3 linked regions of the Danio rerio genome follow. The protein of the gene in region 2 interacts with the protein of the main gene of each other region in a biochemical or structural test. Links are inferred from orthologs where the notes say so. Each region holds a gene or a part of one and is shown on either strand. Other genes may lie near its edges.

Region 1 (3,661 bases), on a different chromosome or scaffold from region 2:
TACTTAATCGACCGTGTAGTACAATGATGTACTGTATCTGCTCCAGTACACTATAGACGTTGTAACACACATGCACGCTGTTGTTTCTAGAAATGAGAGATGTTTGTGTTTATTAAATTGCCCGTTACTTTGCAACATCCACACCTAATCCACCCCTAAATCTACCCCTCACATAGCATTTGTACAATGTTAATTATGTAATGTATCTGATTTACCAGTATTGTCCTCTAAGATTGTCCTTTGCAACGAAGACATCTTGAAGCCTTGGCTCATTGCTTGGTGTTGTACTATTATATGCAACAAAAATTGGCAACACAGAGTGACTATTGCTAAATGAATAAATTTAATCATATACAAAATGAATATTTTAGAAAACTGTTGAAAATGATTGTGAAAAATATCTTTACTGCCATTTTTGACATCCTGCATGGTTCAATGGGATCTTGATCATTTTAAGTTATGCCCCTGCTACAATTTATTCTTCTTGTTACGCCTCTTTCTTGCAGTCTGCTGACTGGGACCACTGTTTTTTTTTTTTTTGTTTTTTTTTTTTGGCTTACCAAAATCTAAATTTCTATATGAAGTCATTAATTTATTGTGATTGTGGTTTTAGGGGATGTCGAGTCTCCCAGACTATGTGTCATTTAAGCCATTTCCTGGCACTCCACTGGAGCACATCTTCAGTGCTGCCGGCGATGACCTGCTGGAGCTTCTGAGGGGGTTATTCACCTATAACCCCTGCTCACGCACCACAGCTATGCAGGTAACTTTGACCAGCCGCAGTTAACTAACTTCTAATTCCACCTTTAAAAACTAATCTGCTTTTGAATGAGCATCTGAGTGAATAAATATTCTCATTCCAGGCTTTGAAAATGAAGTATTTCAGCAATAGACCAGGACCAACCCCAGGCCCTCAACTACCCAGACCAAACTCCTCAACAGAAGCCCTGAAAGAGAAAGAAAACCTGCTGATAGGAATCAAGAGGAAACGTGACAGTATTGAACAGGGTAAAGAAACACTTTATAAATAAGAGAATATATGATGATAAAATATGATAATTAGTTTTAGCAGTGTTGTTTATGTTATATAGTATTCCAAGTCAAGTTATTTTAATTATCTTTAGACAATACATATTGTTTCATAAACAGTTCCACAGGAAAAACAGCAAAATAACAGAATCAATAAAGCAAACTACCATTATGAGGTCCCTTTTACCCCAGGTATTGAAGCATTTCATTCACTGAAGTATGAAAAATCCCCTGAGACCTTCGTTCACCATCAGAAGATAAATGAAAATGTTTTAGGGTTCATAGACCACAACACTCCAGAGATGTTCAAAATCCAGAAAAGGATACAAAAACATTCCATGAGACTTGAAGTGTTAAACTGAAATAATGCAAAGCTACATGAACATTTTTGGGGGGCAAAAAAATTATATAAAAATATGATCCTGATAACATATAGATGAAATTTAAAAGTGTTGTACATTTAACGGGGTATCTGCACACAGATTTTTAAAATTTAGTCCGCCAGCTGCAGGGCTTCCGGTTAATTGTCATCCCTTGCAAAATCACAGCGTTTAAAGGGTCACGAAACACTACAACACATTTTTTGAGCTGTTAACGGTCGTATATGTGTCCCACACTGCTAAAAACACTATTAGGACACATATATTTCACTAAAAAGTGTAAATTGGTTGTTTTTGCGTTATTTCAAGCAAATTCGTACTTCCGGTTTGAAAGGAATTATTGAAGCTGCGTTACGGTCATGACATAATAGCGTTGTATTCCAGCGTGCAGACTGGACATCTGTGCCAGAGTGTGTCTTATTACGTCTTACAGTGTGATGCATTAATGCATGAGTAAGGCTTGGTTCAAACCAATAAGCGCGCTCTATTGTGCAACTTCATTAATATTCATTACTGTCACAGTGTTTAGACGACAGAGACGCCACGTTGTGTGGGCAAACAAGCGTGAAGTGTAGCTTTTAAAGTTTGCTGCAGTTAAGTTTCGTTTTCATTTTCTCTCTGTGAGAGCTCAGACTCATGTGTGGATTACAGTGTAGGCGACGCTCGACAACAATAACTTGCGTGTCTAAGGAGGAACATTGTTTACCTGAGAGCTGTTCTCATCTGCAAACGCTGAGATCCGGATTCGCTTGTAGTATTCTCTTCATAAAGACGCGGCTCTATTTGCTGGTGATTGTCCTGTCTCTACAGATTTGGTAAGTGAGCGACCAGCGCTCTTTGTTTATTCAGTTTGTTCGTATCGAACAAACTATTGCACAGAGTGTAAACATGTTAGCACTACAACCAAACTTTAACCGCGTGTAGGGTTTTCACCGCATTACACACGCGGCTTTCTGACGCTACCTGCCATGTGCATCTAAGTTTCCGGGAAATGCAGAGGTTTTTTTTCTCTCATTCGCCGTGCGGTATCAAACATTGCACGAAAAATACATGCTTAGAGCAGTTCCTCGAATCAAATATCTCGTTTGTCTCGAGGGGCATGAATGAATTCCCTGAATGAAAGAGCCAAACTGCAGTTAAAGTCCACCATTTAATAATTTGGCAAATAATTCGACTACAGATGTCCATGTAGGTTACACACTATCACTTTCTCCTGTATGTATGTGTGAGTATTTTGACTCTGAAACTCGCGCGTGCCCAAATAGACACTCCCACACCATCCCACTTTTCTTCCTCCAACACTCCCCCCTAAACAGAGCTGGACACGCCCACTTTTCTGACTTTTTCCAAAGTAGAGGTGTGAAAACACCCTGCTGAAACGAGGGGGTTTCATGGCCCTTTAAGATGTAATTTCATTAAAAAGCAGCGATCTTCACTGCCTGGCTGAGATAGGATATTAAGTGGGTATCAGACCAAACAGGAAGCACTGCATTAAATCATATTTTTCTACACCATGTCATTAAAATATGGAAATTAATTTTACCCCAGTATTTTCAATGGAATTTCTGTGCTAGCCTGCTGCCAATGACAGCACCTGTGTTTAAACAGCCATTTGTCTCTTTATACACTTTAACAACCACATGGATGCTAAAGTCTATTTAACTGATTAGATTCATTCATTTTCTTTTCGGCTGAGTTCCTTTATTAATCTGGGGTCGCCACAGCAGAATGAACCGCCAACTTATCCATTACATGTTTTCACGCAGCGGATGCCCTTACAGCTGCAACCCATCTCTGAGAAACATCCATACACATTCATTTACACTCATACACTATGGATAATTTAGCCTTCCCAATTCACTTGTACCGCATGTCTTTGGATTGTGGGGGAAACCCGAAGGAAACCCACGCAAACACGGAAAGAACATGCAAACTCCACACAGCAACGCCAACTGACCCAGCCGAGGCTTAAACCAGTGACCTTCTTGCTGTGAGGCGCCTAACTGATTATATTTGAATTATATTACAACATCCATGCTGTAAAAGGAACCTTAAAAATTTGAAAATAGCCGCATAAAGCTCTAACCAGAAGTTTGTTATTGGTTGAATAACACTAACTGTGCATATACCCTATTTTGTATCACACAATGTTTTTTTTTTTTTTTTTTTGTATTTCTAATGAAATCCAAATGCAGTTGGCCACTTTTTTATTTTATTTTTATCAATAAATATATATTTAAACAATAACAATG
Region 2 (3,661 bases):
AGAAACAACACCCACACAGAATGTTTAATGCTACATTCAAGTCATATAAATATTTATGTGTTGAAAGTACATGAATGATGGTGTGTCTGTGAGAATACATGTCCAGTGCAATGGATGCAGTGTCTGTTTTGACAGTAAATTATAATGTAGTTGGTCTTTTACACTACAACCCTATATGTGGCATCTATAAAATTGTGTACAGTAATGATTGCAAATATAAACGTTAAATTTTTAATATCAAATCACCACAACAGTTCTTCCTATTTTTAACACTCTTTATTTCTTCTATTTGTAACTCCCGCAATAACAGACAGGGGTCTTTATATACCCTCAAAAAGCCCACACTAGCACACACATTCTCCTTACACATGCGCAGGTCATAAAACATAACAAATAACATCACCTTAAATATTTTATAAACATAAAAAGGAACATTTTGTATTTTTAGTAAAACTACTAAGACATTTTTTAGAGAAGGTACTTTACTGCTTGAAAACATCAGATGTCACAATTAACTCATAAATACAATCTTCCCAGGATTATTTGAAATTTGAACACCATCCAACTATTTATTGAGCAATCTTTGTGAATTAAACAGCTATCTTTCTTTTTTTTTTTTTGGCAGGTAAGGAGCGAGAACACAATCTCCAGGCGGGAGATAATGTGGAGGTGTGTGAAGGGGAGTTGATCAACCTTCAGGGCAAAATCTTGAGTGTGGATGGCAACAAAATCACCATCATGCCCAAGCACGAGGACCTCAAGGTGAAGAAATCGGCACAAGCTGCAGTGTGAATGAAAAGTCAATCATGTTCACCTGATCCTATTAACCTACCGTGAAATGTGTTTAAACATCCTGAAAATCTCATTCTGCATAATGAATCCTTTTTACACTGATTATCTACTTACTGTCCTGACTTCTTTTAGGATCCTCTTGAGTTTCCAGCTCATGAGTTGCGGAAGTATTTTCGTATGGGTGACCATGTGAAGGTCATCGCGGGGCGTTATGAAGGGGATACAGGCCTCATAGTTCGCGTGGAGGAGAACTTTGTCATTCTGTTCTCTGATCTCACCATGCACGAGGTAGGTTTCACTATTAAACTATGGAAAACCACATACAGAAAAAACAACATTGTTTTTTTTTTTTGTCTGAAATGTTGTGCTTCTGTTGCAGTTGAAAGTTTTGCCCCGGGACCTGCAGCTGTGCTCTGAGACGGCTTCAGGTGTGGATGCTGGAGGCCAGCATGAGTGGGGGGAGCTGGTACAGTTAGACCCTCAAACTGTAGGTGTCATTGTCAGGCTGGAGAGAGAGACCTTTCAGGTAAACGCCCCGTGAAAGTGACCTGTTTAAAAGTACATCTAATAGTATGCACTTGCTGGGTGTCTTTTTTTTTTTTTTTTTTTACTACAATATCACTTTTTTTTCCCTCTATAGTCCTTTTAAGGTTAGTCAGGTTACTTTGAGCCTGCCCTAGAAGTGCCCCAGGGCTGTATTTTAGTCACATTGTCGCTTTGTATTGTTTTATACAATTTGTATTGCGGGTACATGTCAAATCTTCAAATCCATCTGTGAACAATATCATGAATAAGGGCTTGACAAACAAAGGTCTGTTGTATGAAGTTTCAACATGAACTAATGATTTTAGAGTTCAACCCATTCTGTTTGCCTTCAAGAATAATTTCTGCCTCCAATACCTATTTTTTATATTTTGATAAATAACTAAATACAGTGTACAAAATCACTGCTGTTTTGTTGTGTATATTCACCTACATTTATTTGATCCGAAAAACAGTCATGTAAAATATTAAACAATTTAAAGTATATATTTTATTATTTGTTAATAGAATTTAATCCTTCTTAGGACTGCTGAAAAGTCATGTTTGGTTACAGCACTTATTGAAAATCTGGTAGCTCTTTACAATGAGGTTACATTTAGTTAAAAAAGCATTTTTCTCAGGCTACTATGTGTAAGTTGGGTAATTTTTTATGTCAATTAATGTTATTTTTATTGCCTTTAATGTGAAATTAATGAACACAAATATAGGAGTCATTTGTTCATTTGAAAGAACGTTTCTGTTGGCACTTAGAGGTTTTTGCATCTGAACCCTTCATATACAACAGATTACAGTATTTATTTATTCTTTGTTTATGTTAAGAAAAATAAAGTTGTTAGCTGTTAGTTCCTTAACTTAATGCAATAACTAAAAAATTATCTTAACAAGCAAAACTTGGGATTATAATAATGTATTAATAATTATTGAACTATAATTAAGATAGGCTGTATATGTGTTATTCATTCTTAACTTAATAAAACTATCCAGTTTATACTGATCTCAGACTTTTGAATATTAATGTATTTAAATAAGCAGAATAAACTATAAAAACATTCAGTATAGACTACAAACTTTTTATTTAAATTTTTTTTAAACAATAAAAAAAAGTTGTTCATGTCATTGATTGAAACATAGGACTTTTTTACTGCAGTTTTCAGTTGGTTGATATTTTCTACTAACTCAGATTTTTTTCCCCCCACAATGACTTGTTTTAGGTTCTGAACATGCATGGGAAAGTTTTAACAGTACGGCACCAGGCAGTGAACAGGCGGAAGGACAACCGGTTTGCTGTTGCTCTCGACTCTGAGCAAAACAACATCCATGTTAAGGATATTGTGAAAGTCATTGATGGACCTCATTCGGTAATTAATTGGATCCTGCGTCTGACAGTTATTGCAAAACAAAACTGCATTGGGTTAACATTAAGTTTCCTCTGTGTGATTTTTCTTTTTTTTTAGGGCCGTGAAGGTGAAATTCGCCACATCTTCAGAGGCTTTGCTTTTCTTCACTGCAAGAAGCTGGTTGAAAACGGAGGCATGTTTGTTTGTAAAGCACGTCACCTTGTACTGGCAGGTGGCTCTAAGGTATGTCTGTCTTGTTATAACGTTGGACCTAAATGCTTTTCATAACTTTCATTAAGTCATTAAACAGTCCTCCTCTGTTTTCAAAGCCCAGAGATGTGACCAATTTTACAGTGGGTGGCTTTGCTCCCATGAGCCCACGCATCAGCAGCCCAATGCACCCTGGAGGAGGTGGTAAGAGTCTTTATGTAATTAAGAGTTGTGAAACAGTGTTGGAAGATCTGGCTTTGGGGAAGATTAAGTCCTGCAGAAGTATTTTAAGTATTTAAACACACAAATAAATGATAACTATTACTGATGTTTTATTTTTCCCTTAACGATTCCTTTAGATATTGTCCAAATTAAGTTCTTAGCAATGCATGTTAAAAAATAGAAATTAGGTTTTGGTTTGCTTACAGTCAGAAATTTGCTAAATGGAATGTACTGCTTACTTGTACAATATATTGCTGTCTGTTCTTACAAATATACCTGTGCAATTTAAGATTTGAATTTTGAGGTCTAGGGTCAGATATTATGTAGATTTGTATTAAAGGAGTAATGGCATTCAATCATTGTTGTGCTATTACACTACAGCATTTTTATTTCTTTTGAAAGTTTTTAGGCTACTGTTTTTCATGTGATTATCATAGAAACTGGTTACTTTTTCACATGGTAATAAGATAATATATAAATAGTTTTAGCTGTAAGTTTGATCATCTGAATTAGTGATGCACCGATATGGATTTTTTGGGCCAATACTGATAACCAAT
Region 3 (2,776 bases), on a different chromosome or scaffold from region 2:
CTGATGATGCTGGGATCCAATAACCATCAAGGTCCAATGATTAATGTTTCGGCTGGTAATATTAATTTTTTTGGGTGAATAATCCCTGTAAAACTTTGGTCTCAAACTCAATTCCTGGAGGGCCGCATCTCTGCACCGTTTTGCTCCAACCCTATCAAACACAGTTGAGCCAATTAATCAAAGTGTTTAAGACTACTCTTGAACACCTTGATTATTTGTATCAGCTGTTTGAAATGGGTCGGAGCAAAAAAAATTCTGGCCCTCCAGGAATTTAGTTTAAGACCCTCATAGGTACAAAATATGTTTTACTGTCGTGTTATTCTGCGTTAATCAAAAAACAAATAAATAAATCACTGACAAAACACACCAGTTCCACTAAAGACTGGTGGAAACACGTTTCATCAGATTACATTTTTGTCCATCTACGGGGTCTGAAAGGCCATTTACAAGTCAGTTACATTATAAAATGCCAAAAATAGACACAGATGAGATAGCATTTGGGTTTGTGTTTAGAAAACAAACAAAAACAGAAATAAAAGGGTGAAACCAGACTAACAAACATGACTGGTCAGCATGCTCCCTAATGGCTCTACAAGTGTCAAGTTGAGGGTTTAAATGCAGGCATATAACAAACATGAACCTAAAAGACCATTTCAGACATTATATTTAAGACGATATTTCATCCAAAACAGATTTCTGAAGAATGCTGGGATCCAATAACCATCAAAGCCTAATGATTAAAACTTTTAACTAAATGATGACAATATTAATTGTCGGATGAAGTATCCCCATAAAACAAAGGTCTCACATTCGATGGCAGGAGAGCTACAGCTGAGCAGTTTTGCTCCAACCCTGATCAAACACTTAATCCAACTAATCAAGGTGTCCATGACTCTTTTGAACACCTCGATTATTTGGATCAGCTGTGTTTGATTAGTGTTGGAGCAAAACTGGAGCTGTGGCCCTCCAGGCATCAAGTTTAAGACCTATGCTATAAAATATAGGTACGCTGAACTAAAGTATCAAGTTCAATATGAATCATTCATAAATACAGAAAGAATGGATGTGATTTGTAAATAAACCAATATTCGTCACACTTCTTGTACTTTCAATCATTTCTGTCCATCACAGATTCATTTAAGTCTGAGGGCCATTTATAGGTCAGTTACATTAGGATAAAACTGTCTATACATGAAAAAACTGAACTGAAATAAATAAAAGGATGTAGAGTGTACAACATACTGCTGTGTATAGTGTATTATAAATGAGTGTGATATTCTACAACCATTTAAAACAATGACTGCATCTGCCTCGGAGGCTAGAACTGTAAGTCTAGTGAACATACCTTCCAAAAAACGACTTGCTTAATTTTTTTTTTTTTTTTAGGTTTTTTTCTTTTAAATAGTCGTCAATTTTCACCATTAATAGAAGTTGAAAGCAAAAATATTTACCAAACAAAACAAAAATGAAACTATTCGTGAATTTAGGAACACATTATGATGCGAATATTGGTGATTTGTGTTTGTGTGCGTGTCCATTTCTCATGACACACATCAAGTAAATACAGACTGGGAAGCAGGTTTACTTACAACAGTATAAAAATAAATCCAGATCTCGTCTGGAGACGCATTCAAGCAACGACTGCTAATAACTATGGATTTAAAAGGCTAATAATAAATACCATACTCCATAAAAAAGACACATATATATTGTTAGCGAACATTTTCCATTTTTGCATTCAAGGTTACACTTTTTTTTTTTTAAAGAGGACCGCGAGTCCCTCTCATTCAGTAATACATTACCCTTAATTCCATTATGCTTTTCTGTTAGCGCGGATATAAAAGTGAACGACATCAAAAAATAGTAGTATGTACAATTATTTTTTTTCTCGTTTCAATAAATAACATTTTTGCCTTTTTTTTTTGCAATATTTTGTTCTACTTTAACATTATTGCCACAGATGGGGTGTTGTGAACGTACTCGCTTGCGCACGCACACACACACAAAGACGCAAGACAACATTAGGGCTTTTTTTGCCTTACATTACTCTGCTGTCAAACGCGACATCACACTAAAGTTAGATGCACACAGGACTCCCGAAAGCACTGATTTGATCAGCGTGTGTGGACGGATGATGCGAGGGGCGCTTTATTTGGGCAATGGGGGCAGAGGTGGAGGTGGTTCTGAGGGTAAAGGTGGCGGCTGTGCTCCTCCGCGAGCGCCACTGCTATAGCGAAACTCTCCGTACTGAGAGCGGTAGTCAAATATCTGAGGTTGTGCCGGCTGGACGCCCTGCGCACTGAGCAGCGAGTTCAACATGTCAAACGTGTCCTGGTACTCGTTCGACTGTCCGGCCGCGTTGTGACCGTTTGTATCCGCTTTGTCCGTCTTGGAGTGCGAATAGTTTCCCTGATGGTGCAGCGAGGGAAGGATGTCGGGCATCACATGAGACGGCACTCCAGGGAGCGTGGGCAACTGAAATGAGTTTCTGGACGATTTGCTGACTTTTGAGGACGAGTGGGTGCTGGAGGAGGAAGGGTCTGGCATGTGGGTTCGTTTTCGCGACATTGATGAAGAGCTCGTCCGCACTGAATCACCTGAGAGCTTTTTGCTACTTCCTGAAGAGCCGGCTGAGTGTTTTTGTGCTGAGGATGAGGAAGACGATGCTGAGAGGGAACCGGCGCTGGAGGAGGAAGAGTGGTGGTGGTGGTGGTGATGATGGTGGTGGTGGTTGGATCGCTCTCTGTGTTTTTCGCGACTTTTCCCGTCTTCTCCA

Evidence for each region.
Region 1: of the proteins of supt5h (region 2) and cdk7, one has a biochemical effect on the other in vitro, tested with the Homo sapiens proteins (2 studies listed by BioGRID, with this or other methods). The link is inferred for Danio rerio from reciprocal best matches to the Homo sapiens genes SUPT5H and CDK7.
Region 3: the proteins of supt5h (region 2) and ccnt1 form a complex in vitro, tested with the Homo sapiens proteins (2 studies listed by BioGRID, with this or other methods). The link is inferred for Danio rerio from reciprocal best matches to the Homo sapiens genes SUPT5H and CCNT1.

What each region holds. Positions count from the first base shown.
Region 1 is NC_133180.1:56,109,848-56,113,508, reverse strand, and holds part of cdk7 (cyclin-dependent kinase 7), read left to right. Parts: intron 1-613; coding exon 614-763; intron 764-863; coding exon 864-1,008; exon of another isoform or gene 1,009-1,478; intron 1,479-1,526; exon of another isoform or gene 1,527-1,587; intron 1,588-2,813; exon of another isoform or gene 2,814-3,661. UniProt on the Homo sapiens protein: Serine/threonine kinase involved in cell cycle control and in RNA polymerase II-mediated RNA transcription. Cyclin-dependent kinases (CDKs) are activated by the binding to a cyclin and mediate the progression through the cell cycle.
Region 2 is NC_133190.1:22,862,056-22,865,716, forward strand, and holds part of supt5h (transcription elongation factor SPT5), read left to right. Parts: intron 1-625; coding exon 626-762; intron 763-924; coding exon 925-1,080; intron 1,081-1,171; coding exon 1,172-1,318; intron 1,319-2,546; coding exon 2,547-2,693; intron 2,694-2,789; coding exon 2,790-2,915; intron 2,916-3,001; coding exon 3,002-3,086; intron 3,087-3,661. UniProt on the Homo sapiens protein: Component of the DRB sensitivity-inducing factor complex (DSIF complex), which regulates mRNA processing and transcription elongation by RNA polymerase II.
Region 3 is NC_133198.1:38,766,852-38,769,627, reverse strand, and holds the end of ccnt1 (cyclin-T1), read right to left. Parts: coding exon 2,149-2,776; 3' UTR 647-2,148; downstream 1-646. UniProt on the Homo sapiens protein: Regulatory subunit of the cyclin-dependent kinase pair (CDK9/cyclin-T1) complex, also called positive transcription elongation factor B (P-TEFb), which facilitates the transition from abortive to productive elongation by phosphorylating the CTD (C-terminal domain) of the large subunit of RNA polymerase II (RNA Pol II).